Tamandua tetradactyla: one gene and its partners. The protein of the gene in region 1 purifies or fractionates together with the protein of each later gene. This does not show direct contact. Links are inferred from orthologs where the notes say so. Each region holds a gene or a part of one and is shown in the gene's direction. Other genes may lie near its edges.

What was found. The genes of interacting proteins can lie anywhere in the genome.
Region 2: the proteins of MAP3K5 (region 1) and MAP2K3 purify together in Homo sapiens (co-immunoprecipitation; 4 studies listed by BioGRID and IntAct, with this or other methods). This does not show direct contact. The link is inferred for Tamandua tetradactyla from reciprocal best matches to the Homo sapiens genes MAP3K5 and MAP2K3.
Region 3: the proteins of MAP3K5 (region 1) and ARRB1 purify together in Homo sapiens (affinity purification with western blotting; 3 studies listed by BioGRID and IntAct, with this or other methods). This does not show direct contact. The link is inferred for Tamandua tetradactyla from reciprocal best matches to the Homo sapiens genes MAP3K5 and ARRB1.

The regions. Positions count from the first base shown.
Region 1 is NC_135351.1:37,024,175-37,031,847, reverse strand, and holds the start of MAP3K5 (mitogen-activated protein kinase kinase kinase 5), read left to right. Parts: upstream 1-4,654; coding exon 4,655-5,093; intron 5,094-7,673. UniProt on the Homo sapiens protein: Serine/threonine kinase which acts as an essential component of the MAP kinase signal transduction pathway. Plays an important role in the cascades of cellular responses evoked by changes in the environment.
Region 2 is NC_135332.1:157,413-164,653, reverse strand, and holds the start of MAP2K3 (dual specificity mitogen-activated protein kinase kinase 3), read left to right. Parts: upstream 1-4,170; 5' UTR 4,171-4,253; coding exon 4,254-4,302; intron 4,303-5,236; coding exon of another isoform or gene 5,237-5,252; exon of another isoform or gene 5,253-5,445; intron 5,446-7,241. UniProt on the Homo sapiens protein: Dual specificity kinase. Is activated by cytokines and environmental stress in vivo. Catalyzes the concomitant phosphorylation of a threonine and a tyrosine residue in the MAP kinase p38.
Region 3 is NC_135334.1:70,219,977-70,227,985, forward strand, and holds the start of ARRB1 (beta-arrestin-1), read left to right. Parts: upstream 1-4,938; 5' UTR 4,939-6,011; coding exon 6,012-6,085; intron 6,086-8,009. UniProt on the Homo sapiens protein: Functions in regulating agonist-mediated G-protein coupled receptor (GPCR) signaling by mediating both receptor desensitization and resensitization processes.

The DNA.
Region 1 (7,673 bases):
TTGCTGAATGCAAAACTTAATCCACATTTCAAGTTTGGATGTTTTTTGTTCTGGTTTACTCAAATGGCTGAGGGTAGGGTTGCTGCCTACATAAGGGCAATTTTCCTTCTAGATCATGCTCACTTCCATGGTATGTCATCCTTATTTTTTTTTAACTTTTTTTATTAATTAAAAAAATTAACAAAACATTTAGAAATCATTCCATTCTACATATATAATCAGTAATTCTTAATATCATCACATAGTTGCATATTCATCATTTCTTAGTACATTTGCATCGATTTAGAAAAAGAAATAAAATGATAATAGAGAAAAAAAAAACTATACGTACCATACCCCTTACCCCTCGCTTTCATTTACCACTATTTCAAACTGAGTTTATTCTAACATTTGTTCCCCCTATTATTTATTTTTATTCCATATGTTCTACTCTTCTGTTGATACAGTAGCTAAAAGGAGCATCAGACATAAGGTTTTCACATTCGCAAAGTCTCATTGTGAAAGCTATATCATTGTTCAATCATTATCAAGAAACATGGCTACTGGAACACAGCACTACATTTTCAGGCAATTCCCTCCAGCCTCTCCACTACATCTTGAACAACAAGGTGATATCTACTTAATGCATAAGAATAACCTCCAGGATAACCTCTAGACTCTGTTTGGAATCTCTCAGCCATTGACACTTTGTCTCATTTTACTCTTCCCCCTTTTGGCGGAGAAGTTTCTCTCAATCCCTTGATGTTAATTCTCAGCTCATTCTAGGGTTTTCCTCAGTCCTTTGATGAGTCTCAGCTTATTCCAGGATCTTTGTCCCACGTTGCCAGGAAGGTCCATACCCCTGGGAGTCATGTCCCACGCAGAGAGGGGGAGGGTGGTGAGACTGCTCATCATATTGGCTGGAGAGAGAGGCCACATCTGAGCAACAAAAGAGGCTCTCTTGGGTGTCATCCTTAATTTCATCCTTCCTGTTGCTGGCAAAAATGCAGCCTCTCAGCTGCCTGATCCAGACCCATAAAAACACACAGGCCTGAAACAGCCCTGAGTGGGCTCACTGGATCCCTGTCATCTCTTCCAGGATCTGGGTCTCTATCCTCTCTGCCAGATATGGGATCCCTGTTGTCTATTCCATAATCTGGATTCCTGTACTCCCTTCCAGAATCTGGATCCCAGTCCCCTATTCCATAATCTGGATCTCTGTTCTTTTTCTGGCATCTGCATCCCTGTCCTCTCTTCCATCATCCTGGTCCCTGTCGTGTCTTCTGGAATCTTGATTCCTGCCCTTTTTTCCAGAATCAGGTCCTTGTCTCTTCTAGAATTTGGATCCCTGTCTGCTCTTCCAGAATCTGGACAAATATTTCCTTATTGTCTTGTGAGTTCTTTGACATCTTTATGTATATATTTAAAATTGTATCTGCTTTCTGCAGTGCAAGGGTTGATCAGAATGATCCAATCTATCATTATCCAGAAGTAGAAATCTCTCCAGCTCTTTATGAGGGAAACTCTTTACTATACCTGCAGTCGTTCTCAAAGGAGTCCTGAATCCCTTCTCCAAGTGGTGGTGGGTGGACTCTATTTCTGACCAGAAAATTTCCGCTCTGCTGCTATGCCTTCCTAAGTGTAAACATATCATAGATTATGATATAGTTCTATCATTTATTGATGGTGATCATAATCCTTGTTAAGAGATTCTAGAGTTGCCTGCTATTTGTGGTAGAGTCTAAGGAATAGACTCAATTTTCCTGGATTCTTTTTTTATCCCAAACCAGAATGCCAAGTTAAAGGTTTGCAATGAGAAATCCAGTCCCTTAGGTTCTTTATATTTATTAGTATTATTTATATTCTGATTTATGTTATTTTAGATTCCTTCTGAAATGCCTTCATTGAATTAATACTTAATATATTCCTGTTTTTTCAAATAGTAAATAAAAATTTTGAAGAACACATATATTTTTACAAATCCACACTCAATTATGTAGTATTTCCAGTGTTCTTTAAACTCAATTTGATGTCATAAAATTTCTTTTTTAGAATTCAATGTCAGGAAAAGTTTGGACTCTTCCTATCAATATGTGTAATTCTGAGTGTGTGTGTGTTTAATTTTGACAGCTGAAAAATCCCACCCAGAGTGAAGTTTAGCAATCAATTGAACTTAATTTATCCCAGGTGCTTGGTACTTCTTTTACTGGCTTCTTTAACTTGTGATAATTAAAAATTTTTCTTACCCTATTTTATAAGTGACCTTAAATACTTTTCCGAGTTAAGAATATACTGGATTCTCACTTATCTCATCTGAAGACGCAATGCAGGAAGCAAACTTTCTTTGTTTAAATAAAGCCGAGTTAGCTAGGAGGCCCTTGCCCATTTCAGGTTTAAAATTCAATTTTGCCTCTTCAAGAACAATGTAGAAAGCCCAAGGCAGAAAGTAATTTTGCTTGTGTCCATCACTTCTATATACGTTGTCCTTTCGGACTAGAAAAAGGTGTTCCTTTTAGACCCACAAATTGCAAAATGCATACCCTGTGGGTGGTTCAATGAGAAAATGTTTTCCTTTCTCCAGACCCACACTCTGACCCAGGCTTGGCAAGCTGAGCAGGGCTGAGTTTCAGCAGCCCATGTGCCCCCTCAGCCTGGTTCCCCTGACTACATGCAGATCCAGAATTTCAGTCATAATGTGAACTATGTGAAATTGTGCATAATTGATGACAGTAGCCTTTTTAGACTTTATTAGAATGGCCCTAATGAATTTCCAGTTAAGTATTTTTGGCCATCAACAGGTGGAGAATCATCAACTCACAGGAATTTGGAGGTTTGGCAAGTTGTTGGAAGTATTAAAAGATACATATCTGTTAGTAGCCCATCAACCTTTTGTTTTAGTACTATCGCTGATTCACTCAATATCTGCGTTACTTCCTAAAGTTGAATGTGGACCATTTAGATACTAGTTGATATCAAGAATATAAAGTTTCTTTAATAAAAATTCACTCCTGTCATTTTACATGCCTTTAAAAAAAATCTAACCTCACTTTGCTTCCTCGTGGACACAACTGTCTAGCTTCTAGATTCTCATAAATACTATTTTCTTCCTTACTTTATTGCTTGACTACTCAATTGTTTTGTTTTTATGTTCAGGTATGTAATGTAATTCACATTTCCTTCTGCCTTTTTCATAGGACACTATGCTTCACTAATCTCTGTTCCTGAGATGGGAAGTCCAAAACCCATGACTTTATTGCCTTCACTGACTGTCCTAACACACACAGCATTCTGAAGAAGTTCTCAGAGAACACAGCCTTTGTCTTACACATCCGTTTTTGTTTTGTTTATTTTTGCAAGGGCAAGCACCAGGAATCGAACCACGTCTCTGGCATGGCAGGGGAGAACTCTGCTTGCTGAGCCACCATGGCCTGCCCTACACATCCGTTTTTGCTCCCCAAATGAGCAGGTGCTTTAACATTATTATTATTATTTGAGGCTCTTTCACAATCCAGGCACTTTACTGAGGGGAAATAAAATAGAATAGGTCATCTAATTTTCCTCCAGGGTGCAGATGATCACTTGCCGAGTCGGTGGATCTTAAGTACATGGTGTTTTGAGGGGACCCTTCCAGATCCTAAATGAGAATAGTTCGTTCAGCATCTGGAGTTATCAGGGACTTACTAGTGATTGCAAGCACACTAAGGAAAAATTTTGAGTGGACAGCGAGTACCAGGGGCCGACTTGGTAAATTTAGTTCTAGCCGGCCACTGCGTGCTACCGTCACGCCAACACCGACGTCCGGGTAGGGCCCGAGCTGCCGGGCGCGTGTGAACTCACTCCTCCCGCCTTGCCGCAGGCGCCGCGCGCGGGCCCGGGAGACCCGCGGAGCCAGTCCGCTGGGCGCCGGAGGGGGGCGCCGCGGGCGCGGGCATCGTTGCCAGTACTGCCGGGGCCGGCTCGGGGGCCCAGGGAGTGGCGAGAGAGACTTTTTTGCGCCATCCTGCGGCCCCGTGCGCTCAGAGATCTGCCACCCCCAGCCGTCCCTGGCAGGGCCCGGTTGGCGGCGGCGGGGGCCTCGGGGACGGGACTCGGTCCCGGCGGCCCGCTCGGTTTCGGCCGGCCTTGGGCTTCCCGGCAGCGCCCTCCCCCGGGACGCCCGGACTTCTGCGCCGCGACGAGTGGGCGGCGGGACTCCAGCGGCGAGGCTGGCGCTCGGCGCCGAGATCGGAAGACAGCGAGGCGAGGGGAGGAGGAGGAAATAGAGCCGATGCGGGGCGGCCGCTGCCGGGGAGGGAGGCGGGTCCTTTGGGCGGCCTCAGGGCCGGGCTGCCGCGCACCGAGCCCGCCCGCGCGCCCGGGCTCTCCAGGTAGCGCTGCACCCGAGGGCCCGGCGCTGGCACGCACGCAGGGGCGCACCGGGCCGGGGAGGCGCCGTCTCCTGCGCGCCCAGCCCTCCCGGCTCCCCGCCCTCGTCCTCTGAGCCCGGCGGCGGGCAGGCGACGCGGCCACGGAGGCGCCGAGGAGGGGCGTCCCCGCGGGGGACAGGGCGCCCGAGCGCAGGCGGCGGCGCGGCGGGGACGGCGATGGCAGCGCCCTAGCCCGGCGGGCGCGTAGCAGCCCCGAGCTGCGGCTGGCGGGACGGGGCGGCGCGGCCCCCGCGACCCCGCCGGGCGACATGAGCGCCGAGGCGGGAGAGGGCATCACCTTCTCCGTGCCGCCCTTCGGTCCCTCGGACTTCGGCGTCCCAGCCGAGGGCGGCGGCGGAGGCGGCGGCGGCCGGCGGGGAGGAGCGGCCCCAGAGAGCGAGGACGACGTGCCGCTGCCGCCCGCGGGCAGCTTCTGGAACGTGGAGAGCGCCGCCGCCCCGGGCACCGGCTGTCCCGCCGCTGGCGCCCTTCGGAGCCGGGGCAACCCCGGGGGCTCGGGCGGTCGCCGCACCTCGGTGGTATACGTGATCAATGAAGCGAGCCAGGGCCAGCTGGTGGTGGCCGAGAGCGAGGCCCTGCAGAGCCTGCGGGAGGCGTGCGAGGCGGTGGGCGCCACGCTGGAGACCCTGCACTTTGGCAAACTGGACTTCGGGGAGACCACGGTGCTGGACCGCTTTTACAATGCAGGTGCGTGTGTCACCCCTCCCGGTCGTCGCGGCCGCTGGCCACCTTTCCCCGCGCGGCGCCTACCCCCTGCCTCCCCCCCCCACACACACCGGAGGGGACAATTTTTATTTTCTGCTGGGCAGGAAGCGAGCTTCCTGCTCACTGACATCTTCCCCCACCTTGGGGACAGCGAGTGGCGCTGCGTGTATGCCCCGGGTGCCCGCCGCTTGTGCAAGAGCCGGCGTGCACTTGTGCAAGAGCCCGACGCGCCCGGCCACGGTCTGCGCGGCAGCGCTGGGCACCATGTGCTCGTCTCGAAGAACTTCGAGAAAGGCGAGAGTTTTGCCCCTGTCCCACCTCCGTTGAGTGACTCTCTCTCTTCCCTTGGCTTTGGCTCTGTTTTCCCTCTGCATCTACCTGTGACCCTTTTAGATGACGCCGTTGCTCGCCGGGCTCTGTGCAGTTTTGGGAGCTCAGAAAACATCAGGATCACAGGTAGCTGTGGGCAGAGCTGTCTAAATGAATTCGCGGGTCAAGTCCTGCCTTTCCCAACTCATTTTTCCAACAGCAGGTTTTAGTGCTTTGAATTTCCCAGCTGATATCAATATGAACTTTCAGATAATTACTTCCCAAAGTACTAACTTTGTCATTTGCATTAAACTGGTGTGATATCTTTATTAGGGTCTGTTATTTATGACGTCATCTATCATGATGGGTATTTTTCAAGTTAAATAGTTAATATTTTCACATAGTCTAAAGCTGATATGCTATCTTGACGACAGATTTGATTGGCCATCAAAGTGTTTGCTAGCATAATCCATGAAAAAAAAATTTACTTTTTCAACCTATCGCCGATATCAGTGACTGAAAAGAATTACCTATGGGTTAGCAAGTGTGAGGAAATAATGCCATACTATTGAAGTGGATTTTTTAGGATCCTTTACAATCAATGTTGAGAATATATGCATACTTATTTTTATAATCATGGGTGGGAAAATTGGATTTAATGATGACTTCACAACACTAAGTTTCTTGCATTTGTACTCTTAAAAGGTTTTATATTCCAATCTTGTTTTTCGGTTCAGATTCTATTTAGTCTCTTCAAAACACCTGAAGTAGGCATATGTCAGGCTTGAAATTCAGCCAAAGCCGAATATTTTAAGAACAAGAAGAACTTCATGGGAAGGAAGCAAGACTAAATAAAGTGGGGCTTTCTGTTTCTGGCGTTTTTTTCCAATCTTGAGCTTCATAGCTGAATTTGACTGTATATTATGTATAATAGTTTGGGTCTTTGGGTGGCTTATTACAAAAATTATATAAACATAACTTTTCTAAAATTATAGCACTCTCATCTTTAAGTTATAATTTGGAAGATGTCAGTGAAGCTTCAAAGAACTGAAGATAAGGGAGAAAAGCATCTGACTATTTACTGGAACCTATTTTCATTGCACTGATTGGGTATTTTTTTTAAACTTTTTTATTGTAAAATATATCATATATGCAAAGTAAAGAAAGGAAAAAAAGCAATAATTTTCAAAGCACACTTCAACAAGTAGTTACAGAACAGATCCCAGAGTTTATCATGGGCTACCATTTCACTATCTCAGATTTTTCCTTCTAACTGCTCCAAAATGCTGGAGACTAGAAGGAATATTAATATAGTGATTCAGCAGTCAGCAATCCCATTTTCTCTGTTATATCTCTTCCTTCTCTTTAATCCTCTCAATCTATAGGGATCTCTGGGCAATGTCCATTCTGATTTTTTCATGTTGAGAAGGGGTGTCCACACTAAAGGAGAGGGGAATGTAATTAAATTGATCATCCTAGAGAGGCTGGTCCATCTGAGTTTCAGAATTTAACTGACCTAACAACCCTGCTGGGATTATATGTTCCAAGAAGGCTAACCTAGTGTATGGAAGTTTTATAGAGTCAGTTCGCACTCTGGGTATTCTTAAGAGTCAACAGGAGTAATGTTGGTTGGGGGATAAACCATGGCCGTTAGTACTATTTAGCTGAAGCTTAGAATTAAGTTTCCTAAGGGCATGCCTCAAAATCTAGGTATTGGCCTATTTTCTTGAGAGTCCCCAGTGGTTGGAAGGGTACCCGGGGTTCTCAGATGGGAGAGTTTAACAGTACCATATGTATATTTATATGTTTTTTTCCCTTCGGACCCTCAAGGGACTCTACCAACACTTTTTAATTATCAGCCCACCATAGTCTGCAATGTGTCCTGGTATTGTATTAAGTTATATGGAATTACAAGGCCTCGTTCACGTTCTGGACTCCAGGAATTTGAGTTGTTTAAATGAGCTATCCAGAGAGATTGATTTAGATGATGTGTTATAGAAAATTTAGGTTCCAGACATAATAAACCTCTCTGCCTTTGGTCTCATACAGTAGGTGAAGGTCTAGAGTGCATACAGTATCATCTTTTACCCTGTAATCTCATTTACCTTAGACCCAGCCAGACTGGCTTTATTTTACACTCTAATTGAGGCCTGATCTCTTTTTCAGTTACTTTAATTGTTATTTTGTATAATGATGCTAACTTTCAGGGCTGTAGCTCTCCATTTCTGGGTCCTAAGTGTCACAGAGCTGCTC
Region 2 (7,241 bases), on another chromosome or scaffold:
ATGCCTGTCCCTGCCTCGCCACACCCAGAGACATTCTGGAGGATTCCAGCAGCAGGGGAGTTCTGCTCCTGGCCTGTAACTGTCCAGCAGGGGGCAGCCTCAGGGGGTCTGTCACCCCAGGGAGCCCCAGATGGGCGGGACACAGGGCTGTCAGAGCAAAGAGCCGACGTTTTCCCGGAAAGTGGCTGAGTGAGCTTGAAGGTGACTTGTGTTGCTCAGATGAGAGGTTTCCCCATCTTTCAAGGCCGCTTAGAAGGCGGAGGCAAGGGAGGCCGAGTCTTCAGCCCCGTAGGCTGGAGTTTGCTTAGGTGCTTCTGCCTCAGTATGCCTGGCCTTGGACAGGTTCCGGCACCTTCTATGAGCTTCCTTTTCCTCATGTTACACGGAAATAATTATAGGATGGGCAGCAGCAGGGTGGTTCCATGTTTTCCTCCATTCCACAGCTGATTCAGGGTGACGCAGTGCCCCATGCAGCAGTCACGGGGCCCGCGAGGGGATCAGCGCCTAGTGGGGGCTTTAGAGGTGGCCCCTGCTGCTTCCAATGACATGATCCTGACCCCTGTGGCTGCAACCTTAGGCTTTAGAGCGCGGTCCGGCTGAGTGAAGCAGGTACACTGCTGTCCCTCGGCCCTCCCGCCTTTGCCCTCCACGCGGCCCCCTGACAAAAGGCTCCCATTTGCCCCCAAGCTCCTGGGGACAAAGTGCCACCTCCAGCCCGGGTGGGGGAGCCAGCAGCAGCCCCTGCTTTCGGGGGGGGGCGTCTAACGGGGGGGGGGGGCCGCCGGGCGGGTGGGCGCTGATCGAGAGGGTGACCAAGAGGCGATGAACGCAGGGTGTCAGGGAGCCCCCACTTCTGACCTTGGAATCAGGCCTTCAAGTGGCGGCAGGGAGGGGCATTTCCAGAGGAGGGAACCGCCCATGCAAGCAAAGGCTGGGGTGTGGGGGCTCGGGGGCGGGCTGGGGGCAGGACGGGCGGGGTTGGGGCCGCCTCGGGTGGACGTCTGCGGAGGTTGGGGGGGCCCCGAGGGTGAAGGACAAAGTGCTGGAAGTTTCTCCCCCAGACGCCATGGCAGGGGTGAACAGTCAGCGCTGTGGGCAGTACTCTCTTCGTGCGGTGTGTACGGCCCGGAGGCGGGCTGAGGTCAGGGCAGGTCAGGCAGGGGCCTGACGGGGTGGGTCCAGCCGCGGGATTGGGGGGCCGCCCGCAGTGCCGAGCCTGGTGGCCAGAGGGCGCCGTGGAGGCGCCGCCCGCGGAGGCGGGGCCGGCTCGTGCGCATGGGAGCGTGCGCGCGCCAGGGCGGCCACTCGGCAAGCCTGAGCACGCGCGTGCAGCCCTGTGTGGGTGAGTGCGCGCGCGTGTCATTGGGGCGCGTGGGCTGGCACGCGTGGGGAAGGGGTGTGAGTGAACACGTATGCAAGGGGGACCGAGAGGTGAGACGGGGTCCCGTCGCCTGCCCCCGCAGCGTGCTGGGCTCTGCCATTCCCGAGCAAGTAGCCCTGCTCCCGCCGCAGGCCCTTTGCACCGGCCTTTCCTTTGCTGGGATGCCCCACCCCCAGGCACCTTATTGCCCCCCAACACACACACACACACACAGGGGGAATCGCTGCTTAACCTTTACCTTCCAGGGAGGCCTTTCCTGAGCCCCCAAGCCCCGGCACAACCCCCAACCCCTAATTTCCTCCAAAGTCCTCACCACCATCTGACACTGTCATTTAACTTGTGTATGTTGCTTGTCGGCCTCACCCACCAGAGCGCACCTCCCAGAGGGCAGGAAGTGGTGTCTCACTGCCTACCCGCAGTGCCAGGCCCACAGCAAATATATGCGGAATGAACGAATGAATGGGTGGCCAAAGGAATAACTGAGCTGCCGGGATCCAGGTTTGGCCATCTTCTCGCTCTAGCCCTCTGTCACCGCAGGTGCCGCCACGTCCTGACTTAGGTCACACACCCTCCCTTCCTGAGTCTTACTTTCCCTGCAGATATAGAGAGGGGTGTTTGGGATTTTTCTAGACCTCAGTGCAGGAGGCCACTTGGACCCACTTCAAATGCCCCTCTGGAGTTTCTGGTTTCCAGTGGTTGTCGAGACCCCAGCCACAGTCAACCGTGCTGGAAGAGGAGACTAGAAGCTCCCCTGGCCCGCCTGACCTGGCCTGATGCTCATGAACCCTGCCTGGCCCTCACTCAGCTCTTGGCATTCATGCCTCCCAGCTTGCCCTTTGCAGACCCTCAGAGGTGCCTACCCTTGCTTCTGGGCCTGGCAAGCTCCTACGGTCCTGAAAAGGCTGGTCTCAAAGTCACCTCCTCCAAGGAGCCTTCCCTGACCCCACCCAGCTGGGGTTGTGGCACCTTCCTGGGCTTTGCTCATGTGTCTATTTATAGCACCCCACATGGAGTTTTGTGATTCTTGAGCCATGTGTCAGGCTCCCTGACTAATGCATTAACTCTGTGAAGGCCAGGGCTGTATCTGATTCATGTGGGGGCTGGGGGTGGGACAAGAGTCCCTGGATGGTGTCTGTGTGTTCTGTCCGTCCTCCCTGTGTCCATTCCCCAGCTTTCAGCACCTGCTCTGTGCCTAGCCTTGGGCTCTGCAGTGGGAATGAGATGGGCAGAGGAGGGCAGATGTTCTAGAGGGATGTGGGAGTCAAACAGAGCCGGCAAGTGAGGCACTGGTGGCCAGGGCTGTGCAGAGACTGGAACAGGGCTGGGAGGGTCACGTGACTTGGGCTACGTGAGATGAAGCCCCCAGAGCCCCGGGAGGAGGGCAGGATATGTTCTAGGCATGGACCTTGCACATGCCCTAGGACATGCCAAGGAGCAGAGTGGACAAGGGGGAGAGAGTGGCCGGCAGGGCTGGTCCCAAGAAACTCCAACGGACCAGGTTTGATGCCTGGTGGGAAGAGAGCCGCACAGGTGCCCATTTTCCAGGGGATGGACAGAAGACCATGAGGTGAAACGACTAGGCCAGGCTCACTTGGTCCATTTGGGACAGAGGGCTTTGGGCCACTTGGACACCCAGGAGTGGTAAAGCCGGGGTGTCTTCCTGTAGGAGGTCGTTATGAATTCACATTTCCTGGGCATGTGTGTGTGTGTGCATGCCTGCGTGCGTGCCAAGCAGGCCTCTGAGGCAGGCACTTCCAAGCATGGGATGCTTTCAGGAAGGCCTCAACGCCCCATGGCACAGACAAGTAAACAGAGGCACGGACCTGCTCAGGGACTCATCCAAGGTCTTTGGGATTTGAAGCTGTGCCGTCTGAGTCCAGATCTCATGACTTTCCATCCCACTGCCTGGAAAGGGTGAGCAAGAGATGCAGGAAGCAAATGGTGATAATTATAAGGCTCACTCACCCCTTATCTGCTCTGGTTCTTTCACAGCTGTGTGGGCAAGGCGCTGGGATCATCTTGTTTTACAGAGGTCAGCCCCTGTGCCACCGACGGGTCATGGCATCTGCTCCCTCCCCAAGGAGGCCCCGGATGGGCCCACAGCCAGCCCCCCTCACTCTCCATCTGAGTCATTGATCCCGACTCCAGCCTGGCCAGGGGCTGCAGAGCACAGAGGCTCGGGGAATGCCGCAGAGGGAATGCTCTGTCTTAGCGGCGCTGACCCAATGTCCAGGGAACGCCAGGGTGAGACCTCGGGCAGGGCCTCCGCACCCACCCCGCGGGCATCTACAGCACGGCCAGCGCACGTGGACCGGCCTGGCCAGCGGCCGAGGCGCAGGGTCGTCCCCAGTCTTGCCCCCCGCCCCGGGAAGGGGGGAAGTCGGGGTCTGACCTGAGTTCATCGCAGGGGCACTTTCGTCTGTCCCTGTGGGGCTCGCCCGATGCTCCGGGGCCTCTCAGAGCTTTTCCAGGTCACACACCCCGGGCCAGCCCACGTACGGCCTCCACTGGGGTTGCGGGCAAATGGGGGCGCGCGCTGAGGCCCCGACCCGGGGCGGGGTCTGATGCATGCGGGCGGGGGCGGGGCCTGAAGGGGCCCGGGCTTCCCGGCGGGAGGCGGACTTGACGGGCAGTGGGCGGGTCCTGCTTCTGGGCGGGCCCCGGGGGCAGGCGGGCCAATCGGCGCGCGGGGCGGGGCCGGGGGCGGGCGCCGTCGGGCCCGGCGCGCTGCGCTGCCCAGTCTGACTCCCGCGCTGCCCGCGCCCCGCCTCGCTGCCGCCGCGCCCGGCCGCTCGCCCGCAGCCATGAGCCCGCGCCGCGCCGCTCGAGCCCGCCGCCCCCTGGCTTAGTCCCGCCGCCGGCTCCCCGCGCCATGGAGCCACCCGCCTCCAGCACCCCCGCCGGCGTGCCCGCGTCCAAAGGTACGAGCGCCCGGCTTGAGCCCGGCTGGGCCTGCCGGCGAGCCCTTCCGGGGTCGGGCCTGCCCTCTGGCTGACCTGCTCTGCCTCGCCCCGGCCGCCCCCGCCCAGCCTGCGACCTCACTCGGACCCCCGGAGGCCGCGGGGCCGCTGCCTGGCCGAGGCCTCCCGGGCCGACACCTCGTTTCGATGCCCCCGCGCGCGTGGGGAGGGAGCCTCACGCTGCCCCCCAGGCTGGGCCAGGAGGAGCCGGGTGGCCCACTGACCCCCAGTGACCCCCGTCGACTCCCGCCGCGGGCCCCAGACTGTCTCCGGGCTAGTCGAACTCGGACCCCTACCTCGTCTGCGCCCTTGCTGGGGAACTCGCTGGACTCCCCCGTCCTGGGGTCTGGGCGCCTCAGCTCGCCCCAGCCCACCAGTTTGGAGCCCACTTTGCCGCATCTGCGGCTGCCCTGCGTGGGGCGTCTCCGCAGACCCCGCGCTCCGTTCTGCAGCCGCGGCCGGGAAGCTTGCCTGTCCCTTCGGGAGACGGTGGTGTCCCCCCGCCGGCCGCGCACTCTCTTCCCGGTCCTTCGCGGGCCCAGGGCCTCCAACCCCTGTCCAGGGCTTGGGTCCGTACTGCGGCCTGTCCGGCCGCCCCCGGTCCTGGGTCCCCGCCGGGCGTTTTTGGAAGTGGTCTGTGAGCCGGCGGCTGTGGCGGCGGCAGGACTTGTCATGGGGAGGTGGGGGGGCACGGAACCTGGAAGGCGAAAGGGGATTTTTTTTCCCGCAGTTACAGGAAAGGATGTTTTGGGCATGTCAGAGTCTGGGCAGGCGGGGTGGTATGAGAGGGCTCCACACCGGGCGCGGCTGTGGGGAGGGGCCGCCTCGGCCCAGCAAGCCCCTTTACCACCCTTGGGCCTCAGTTTCCCCATCTGTAAAGCGGGCGTAATCATACCTTCTTGCGTGCGCATCACGAGTGTGACGTGAGCTCACGGGTACGGAATGCTTTTAAAAACATGGGTGCTGCCATGAGCTGCTCGGCAGAGCCCGCGGCTTGGAGTGTGGTGGTGTCCTTGTGGAAGAGCTTCGGCCTGGCAGGCCTCACGGCATGGTCGGGCGGGAGGCCGCGTGGGGTCCCAGAGGGTGTGGGCCGGTGGCGGACGGACAGGGCGGTACCTCTGGCGTCTTACGTAAGCGGACACCGGAGCCCTGACCATTGGCCAACCGCGGTGAGTAACCCGGGAGGCACTCGCGGGGGCGGGGGCGGGGCGCCGGCCGCTCAGGCCTCGTATTTACAGACCGCTGGGTCGTAAATAAGGTGCTTCTCTACTCTGGAGCTAGGTACTGGTGTGGTGGGTCATGGGTGTGCTGTGCGCCCCAGGGCAGGTCCGCCACCTCTCTGGTGGAGGTGTTCGTATTTGGAGGCCTTTTTAATTCTTGCATGCTGAAATAAAAGTTACACTTACAGACTTGTGAAGGGAGAGGGGTGACGGGTGTGAGGGGCAGCACTGCTGGGGGGGCACTGTTTGACCCGTGTGCTGTGTAACCTCAGGGCTGGCATTACTCTCTCTGGGCCACTCTGTAGAGAGGGCCAGGATGAATTTGCAGCTTGGGGTATTGGCTGATCTGCAGCTTGAGGTGGGTGGGGAGGAGGGCCAGTATCTCCCTGAGGCCCAGGGACCCTGCCAACCTGCTTGGGGTCCAGGGAAGGAGAGCCATAACACCCCCTCACCAAAAATGATAAGGCTCCTGCCTTCAGAGCTTTTTCCTATGTGCTGTGCATTGTCTCCTTTATTCCTTTATTCCCTCTACCCAGCCCCATTTTACAGAGGAGACTGAGGCTCAGAGGTGTTAGGGGTCTCCAGAGGACTCTCCCAGCTCTGCCCCCACCTCCCATTCCTGTGCTGGCAGCTGGAGCTGAGCCTGCTGGGAGAGCCCTCCCCTGGTCACACCCCTGTGCCAGCGGGCGTCTCCTCCAGACCAGTGAGACACGGAGCTGCCTTGTGTGCGCAGCCCTTCACAGTTGGCACGTTGCGAGCTCTCTGCAACCCGACCCATTTGACAGGCAAAGCTGAGGCCAGTGGGGAGTCCCCATGCCCGCCCCATCCCATCCAGGTCCCGCAGGGGTTACTGCTCACCGTCTCGGAGGAATTCCAGCAGACCTGGGAGTGTTTGGCCCCAGCTTATCCAAGTGTTTCACCCTCACGCCTCTGCGTTGCCTGGTGCCCATCCTGGGCCTGGAGGACTGACTGGGGCCCAGGCTCCCAGGCACACCCCATACTCCCTCTCTGACAGGGCAGGAGCCCCCGTGTCCAGCTGCCACTGCCTACCTGAGACTGTAACCCGGGGCTGTGTCCTGGCTGACACCTGGGGCAGCCCTGGGTAGCTGACAGCCCTGGCCTGCAGGGGCCTGTCGGTGCCACGCCTGGAGGCGGGAGGCGAGGGGATGTCCCGCCGCCCGCCTCAATGCACAGGAAGCCCGGCCCGAGTGGGGGCCGATGGGAGCTGAGTTCCCAGCTGGCTGTGTGGGGTGGCTGCCGGCAAGTGGCCTCCGGGCTGAGTGTGGGGCTGTGTGGGGCTGACTCACCCAGTGGGCCCGCGGCCGCCAGCGCCTGAAGGCCATGCCCGCTGCGGTGGGAGGGGGCTGCAGGCCCTGCCCGCCCCCAGCGCGCGTGGCCCCCTGCAGGGACTTGGGCTGCATTGCTCCCCCTCCTGCCCCCATTCAACCCCGCCCAGGAACTTCCTCTGTTGGGCAAGGCACCGTTTCCTTCTGCTCACACACAGGTGGGGGCGGCAGGGGACCGCCCTGGGCCCGGGGACTGCTCTGGGCAACCGAGCCATGGGAAGCCTTGCTGGGAGGCAGGTGTGGAGCAGGGCGGTGCTCGGTTGTCTGGCTCCAGCCCCAGCTTGGCCCCTTGCAGGGTGACGTTGGTCAAGTTGTATTCATCCGCTCCTTGTGC
Region 3 (8,009 bases), on another chromosome or scaffold:
ACCGTATTATTTGGCAATTCTACTCCAGGTATATACCACAGAGAATTGAAAGCAGCGATGTGAACAGATATTTGCATACAGATGTTCCTAGCAGCATTATTCACAAAAGTCAGAAAGCAGAAACAATCCAAGGGTGGTATCTTGGATTTATATACTCCAGAAAAACATGTTCTTAATCTTAATCCATCCCTGTGGGTGAATCCATTTTAAATAGGACTTTTTGATGAGGCTGCCTCGGTAAGGTATGGCCCAACTGAAGCAGGATGGGTGTCAGTCCTCATATGGAAACCTCATCAAGAAAGCCACAGAAAGAGAGAGTCATGGGAAGAAGCAAGAAGCTGTAAGTCAGCAGAATCCAGAAGAGACAGGAGAAGACAGAAAAAGCCAAGGACCAAGGATTGCCGGCAGCCAGCCCCAGAATGCCCCAGTCTTCAGGGAGAAAGCATTAGCCTTGCTCATACCTCGACTTTGGACTTCTAGCCTCGAAACTGTGCACCAATAAATTCCCATTTGTTTAAGCCAGTCCATTGCATGGTATTTGTTTTAGCAGTCAAGAAACTAACATATAAATGTCCATCAATGGATGAATGGATAAACAAAAGGTGGCTTATACATAGAATGGAATATTATTTAGCAGTAAAAAGGAAAGAATTTCTGATACATGCTACAACATTGATGACATACAGCATGTTGAGTGAAATAACCCGGCTACCAAAGGATAAAGATTGAATGATTTCACTTATATGGAATAACTAGAATATCCAAATTCATAGAGCTAGAAAGAAAATTACAGAGTACCAGGGGTGGGATGGGGAATGGGGAGTTAATGTTTAATGGGTACTGTTTAAAGTTTTGTAATGGGTGGTGGTGATTGTAGCACAGTGAGTGTAATTAATGCCACTGAACTGTATTCCTGCAAGTGGTTAAAATGGGAAATAGTATTGTCTCCCTTGGCTAAAACTGCTGGAATGCAATATACTAGAAATGGGTTGGCTTTTACAATGGGATTTATTAGTTTACATATTTACAGTTCTAAGGCCATGAAAAGGTCCCAATTAAGACATCAACAAGACAATAGCTTCTCTGAAGAAAGGCTGCTGACATCCTGGTTCCTCTGTCACACGGGAAAGCACAGGGCCAGCGGCTGCTGATCCTTCTCTCCCGGGTTTCACTGCTTGCAGGTTCTGGCTCTTTCAGTTTCTGTGTGTCCTTTCTTGTTTCTCCCAGAGCTTTTCTCTCCAAGCCCTCTTGGTATTTCTCTCTTTGAGCTCTCTGGGCTTTTCCTGTCTTTTTTCCTCTCATAAAGGACTCCAGTGAAGGGTTAAGACCCACCTTGAATGAGCCGGGTTACATCTAAATGGAAACCACCTCACCAAGAGATCCCACCCACAATAGGTCTGCCCCTACCAAAATGGATTAAATGAACTTGGCTTTTTCTGGGATACGTAACAATTTCAAACCAGCAGAGGTATGTTACTACAATAAATAAATACTAACCCCCCCCATAGAACTGTACAGTACAATGAGTGAATCCTAATGTAAACTATGGACTTCAGTCGATAATTTAATATAATAATATTGGTTCATCAATTGTAACAAATGTACTATGCTAGTGCAAAATGTTAATAATAGGGAAAGATGCATGAGTGAGGGTAGAATAAGGATTTTTCTGTAAACCTACAACTCCTTTAAAAAATAAAAATAAAATTTAAGAAAACTTAAACAAAAGCTATTGAATAAAGGCTATAATCAAAGGTCAAATTCTGGCTTTCCTATGAATTAACTCCCCTTCGGGAAGGGCCAGAGGAAGGGAGGTCAGAGGCCAAGGTCCAGAGGAGGCTGTGGACTCAGGCAAATTCCTTAGCTTCTCTGAGCATCAGTTTGCTCATTTATAAAATAGGGTAAAGAGCATTTATCTCACCTAATTGTGGGTGCTAACTAGTGCCAGACACACCACATCCTCTCTTGGGAATTTTACAGGCTAGTGGGACATACGTGACATCTTGAATGCCTGCCTCCACAGTCTAGCGATCCGTTTGGCGTCCCTAGAATGCTCACGCCATGCTTTCCAACCTGGGAAAAGCTGTGCAGGGCAGTGAGTACCTGGAACCATCAGATGCAGCTCCCTGGACTCACTGAACTTATTTGCACTTGTGATTTGGGCACTAGCATGGGCAGAACTACAGAGGATCCTCTGGGTTGAGTGAATGAGTGTTTATAGGTGGAGAAACTGGGGTGCAGAGGCTGGCAGGCCCTGGCCTCTCCATTCTGGCTCGGGTCCTCTCTGGCTCACAGAGTGAACCTCCTGTCATCAAGGAGGCCTCTGGTCTGCTCCTCTCATGCTCCCTGTCTCCCGCTCCCTGTCTCCCACACCCAGCAGGTGACTTCCTCTCCTCCCGCTGTGGGGGTGAGGTTGGAGCCCAGAGGCCAAGGAGGGAGGGGGGTTCTGGGCCCTAATCCACGCTCTCTTGGCTCCTAACATTGCTTTGACCCTGACCTTGGACCACCCTGCCTGCCCATTCCTCCCCCTCCCCCAATATGGACATAATTACAGTAATTATGTTGAACGATACTGGGATATCATTACTCAACTATATATATATATATGTATATATGAACATAATTACAGGAGATGTTTACAGACCTGCAATCACATCAGAGTAAATTACAGCTTCCTTTTCTCTCAGTAATACTCCGATATTAGGGATCCATCAGGGTCAATTAGACCAAATCCCAGCAGTGACCTGAAGGGAAGACCTCACACTGCAAAGCAGTCAGGGACCTTAGGCAAAGAAGGATGTCAGCCAGCATTTCACAGGACACCAAGGAGCCTGGAGAGAGTGGCCTAACATTTACTGGGCACCTACTGCATGCCAGGCACTCGGGGAGTTCAGCAAACACAAGTGAGTGCTTTCAATCTAGGAACAACTCCTAGGAACAATTCTCCAGGCTGGTATTAATATTCCCACTTTACAGGTTTGGAAATTGGCTATGACAGGGCTGATGTCCAGGGTCACCCCCGGCAGGTGGTGGAGCTGGGCCCGGGTGCTTTCGAGGCTAGACTGCCAAGCACGCAGCAGGCCAGCTCTATGTCCCCTTCCTGTACTCCATTTCTCCCCTTCTCACAGCTTCCTCTTCCTGGGCTGCCACTCGAAGCCCCGGCTCGCCTCCTGTCTCCCCACCCTTATCAGTTCTCCAGCGTCGACACTGCCTTCTCCTGCCCCTTCCTCCTCTTTTTCCTGTCCCTGTAGGGCTGTTCGTTATTATCTCTCCAGAAGCGAGGGAGGGGCTGGTGCCTAGGGCGAGGGCCCTGCCAGGCGCCCGGAGTCTCACCGACCCCTAACCCCAGCCACTACCATCCGGACGCCGCCAGGGGTTTGGCCCGGGGCTCGGCAGACCTGAGGCTTCCACCCACCGACACTCGCAAAGGCTGCCCCCGGTGTGCGCAAGAGAGTGCGCTCGCACCCACGGCGTGCGCACACACGCACAACTGCACAAAAACGTGCACACCCCTCTAACCACGCAAATACACTCTATAATAGGCCCGTGCACACAGCCGTACCCACGCACCCGCACCGGCACACACCCTCGCGTGCACACAGGCGCACGTTTACCCAATCCAGCGTGCTCCCTCACATACACACGTACACACGCACACAGAGAGGCATACAGCTGGACATATGCCCATGTATATCCCCAAATGCCGACCTCGGAGCCTTGACCCGTACCACCGCCCTGCGCTCGAGCCTTCGCGCACACACACAGAGGCAGACACAGGCACAGACAGACAGTCACATTCGCGCGCGCGCGCGCGCACACACACACACACACACACACACACACACATACACGCACGCACGGTTCCACGCCCCTGGCCGCTGCCCTGGCGCTGCGCGGCGCAGCGGGGCGGCGGGCGGGGACCGGGGGCGGGGGCGGGGGCGGCGGCGGCGGCTGCGGGTCGAGCCGAGGAGGCGGAGCAGGGAGCCGGGAGCGGGCTGGCGGGCGCTCCTCCTGCCGGCCGGGGATTTTCCAGGCTGGACGCTGACGCCGCGGACCTCCCTGCGGCCGCCGCGGACCATGGGCGACAAAGGGACACGGTGAGTGCGGGCGACGGCCCGGCCCGGCACGCGTTTGGCCGACCTGGGCGAGAGCTCTGGCGGGGCCTCGAGTCCGCGTCCTGGCGCTGCGTTCGCGGCCACCCGAGGACTGCCGTGGTCTGGCTCCCAGCTCTCCTCCGCCCGAGGTCTTTCGTGTGGTCCCCGGGAGAGGCCGTGGGCCAGGGTACCCAAAGGGCGAGGACAGGTCGGCCCCACGCCGGAACACACTCACACACACTCACTCCTTCGCAGACACCCAGCACTGGCGGGCAGACGCAGGGACTCACGGGGGCAGGTTGACACACAATGGCACACACACTCGTGGGTACACAGGGCACACTCATTCTCGGGCGATCTCATGCCGGCACACACACTGACATTCACGACCAGACATTCGTCCCATACAGTGACACCCTTGGTGCACACACCAGTATACACTCATTGTCAACATATTCATACTGTTGGCATCCACGGGTACACACGCCAACATACCCCCATGCTGGCACATGCATGTGGGCGCACACCGGTATACATAGTCTCTTGCATTAATTGTCATAAACACTCCTGCAGGCACACACACAGTGTTACCTTCGCTGACACGCTCACTTGTGCTGGCACATATCTCACCAACACCAGACCACAACAACACTGACCCATGCAGACACACATCAGAATAACACCCACACAGACTGGCGCCCCGTGGGAACAAGCTAACAGATCTCGGGACTGCTGACCCGCTCCCTCCAGTCCCCGCACGGTGAGACACGGAAACACACACACACACACACACACACACACACACACACACACACACACACACACACACACACACACGGGGTGGGGGAGCCTGGGGAAAGCAGGATCCATGGGCTCTATTTCCTTTCCCTTTGGTTCCCGAGGCCTGGCGTGGCTGGCCAGGATTTGTTTTGAGCTGGAGGTGGGGAAAGGGGCTCCTGTCTTCTGAGCAGCCTGCCCTGAAAGACTTTGACTGGAAAGGGAGTGGCCATGCTTCTGAAATGGGAAACTGGGGCAAAAGGGGAGAGGATGCAGGGGCAAGGCGACCCGCAGAGACTGCTCCGTGGGACCCAGACAAGCCCCGGTCCGGTACTCACCTCTGTCTCCCTGGTTCTGTCCTTAATTCTTCTCACCCCCTTAAGTTCTGACAGAAGCCCCTCCCTTGTCTCCTCCTCTTACTGCTTCTGCAAGCCGCTCTTTCATTTGTTTCTTTCTTTATCTTGTCCTATCCTTGTGTTCCTTGTCTCTGATCTCCCTTCTCCTTTCCCTTGCTCCACCCTACCCCCTCTCTCCTTGTTTCCAATGATCATTTATCGAGAGCCTACTATGTACAAGGCATAGTTTGGAGATTGAAGATGCACAGGCACATTTTTTCCCTGAATGTGCTAATAGACTGGAGAGAAATGGCCCTGTCATGGTATTTTGGGACCACCATCAAAGTGATTTCTCACCCACTGCCATCTGAGATTCTCTCAACAGCTGAAAAAGGTGCTCCAGAAATCATTTCCAATTTCTGGAAGAAGACACCGAGGCTCAGAGATAACATATCCTCTTAACATTTACAAACTGTTCCCCAGCCATCCTCTTGACGGCTCTGGAAGGTTAATTTTCCTCTTCCTGTTTTCTGGTAGAGGAACTAGAGCACTGAGAGGCCACCTGACTTGCTTATGGTTAAGAAGGGTCAGAGATAGGGCAAAAGCTGGAACCCCCTTGGTCCATTTTTCTGTGGCTCACTTTGGGCACTGCCAAGTCCCTCAGGGGTCCTGGATTTGGGGGCCAGGGTGGGGTTCTCTGCTGTGTGCATGGGGGTTCCGGCTTTGTAGGCAACTGCAGAAGATCACGAGAAGCCTGCTTTCGACGCGATGGACGCTCCCTGTTTCAGCCAGCCTGGCCAGCCCTATGGCCCAGGTCTCTGCCCTCAGACTCCCTTCTGCGCCACGTGCATCTTCCCAGGAGCAAAGACCCTCTGAATGGTGAGGTCTGGCTTTCCTTCCCGAGGGCGGAGTGGGAGTCAGGAGCCACGGCTCCTCTCCTCTGCTGCTCCTGCCTCACCATCAGGGTGACTCAGCCCTCTTGGGCCTTGGTCTGCCTCTTTGCGTCTTGGGGAGAAGTGTCACTGGCTTGTCATGGATTGTCAGCAGGATGGGGCCACCAAGGGCAGCCAGGCCCCAAAGGCGTCTGTTGGAAATCCTGTCTCTGAGGCCAGGACTTTTTCCGTGACTCTCCCCTGATATTCCTTTAACTCACTGGGGGGACCTTGGGTGATTGCCTTCACCCTTCTGGACCTTGGTTCTCCCATTTTTCTTCCATCTCAGGGCTCTCCTCAGTTTACGGGATTCACTGGGCAGGGTAAGACTACTGCTTGCAGCGTGGAGCTCAGGACTGGCTAAACCCCTGCCGTCCCCCACAGGCACCCCTGCAGCCCCTGGAGGCCCCTCTCCACCTTTCCAGATGGGTTTCCTGAGGAATTTGGAAGAGAAGAGCAAAATAGATAATAGACTGCCTGGTTCTGTAAACCACGGGATTCTACTTGACTTATGACTTAGAAGAGGAAATTGCAAATATCTAATACTTTAAGCATCAGAAGTCATTGCATCCATCCCTCCTCCTTGAATCACACTCCCCCATTTGAAAGTGAAGACAAAAATTAATTAGAAACTGCCACTGGCCTCTCGGACTAAATGGGAAAGAGGGGATGAGACAGTGCCTCGATGGTACCGTACAGGCAGGTACACACTGGGATCAAGCCCACATTCAGTCGACAAATGCTGACTGAGTGCCTTCTGGGTACCAGGGGCTGGGGCTCAGACATGAAGGACTCTACTGTGCCCCCAGAGGATTGAGGGCAGAGCAGGTGATTATAATGCAGGGTTACATGTGTTGGGGGATGCCTAAGAAGGAGTCCCCAATCCTGCCCTAGGCAGAGGGCATGATACGGGAAACTTTCCTGGGAAGGAGGCGGTATTGGAGCTACTGAGCTTCAACTGGAAGGATGAGGGGCCCGGGAGGCGGAAGTCATTCCTGGCCATGGGTGCAGAATGTGCAAAGGTTTGGAGGCATGAAGCAACACCCGTGGTCTGGTGGTTGGGTTAGCTATGATAGATGAGCTGTAAGAGGTAAACACAGGCCAGTCATCAGCAGCCTGGAACGTCAAACAAGGGAGAGGGATTTTCTCCTGAAGTCAGTGGTGAGTCAGAGAAGAGTGTGGGGCAGGGGAGGGATGGGAGTAGATATTTGTTTCAGAGACATGCGTTTGGCAGTAGCAGAGAGGGTAAGTGGGAGGGACCGGCCTGGAAGCAGGAAGACCAGTGAGAAGCCTGGGACAGGCCTGAGAGAAGATGAGATCTGAACTGAGGCCCAGGTGGAACTGAGAGATATTAATAAAGGGGTGGAACCCATCAGCCTTGCTGGTTGACTGGACCTTTGTTGGGTCCCTGGTATTTGTCCGGAGATTTATATGCATAATCTCATTTGACTTTCCCAAAGATACTCCTAAAGTAGGGATTGTTATTCCCATTTTGCAGAGGAGGAAACTGACTAGGAGAGATTAAATAACTTGTCCACTGGCATTCAGCCATTGAGGGTTTGAGCCCAGGCCTTTCTGCCTTCGAAGTCCTCTCTGCTGCTCCACACATTCAGCCAGGAGGGAGGCTTGTCTGGCTCACAGCTGGCCTCCCCCAGAAGTCCCCAGCTCAAGTTGTGCATTGCTTCTGGGCCTTGCTGTTTCTACTAACTCAGTCGGCAGCACAAAGGATCTGATTTAGACAACAGGAGGGACTTCCTGAGAGGTAATAGGATAGAGTGGAATTTCTTTCCTAAGTTTACATACTCTTTTATCTTTTTTTCTGGGAGAGTAGAGGGTAAGTGTGATAGGGACACATAATCACCAGCTCTACG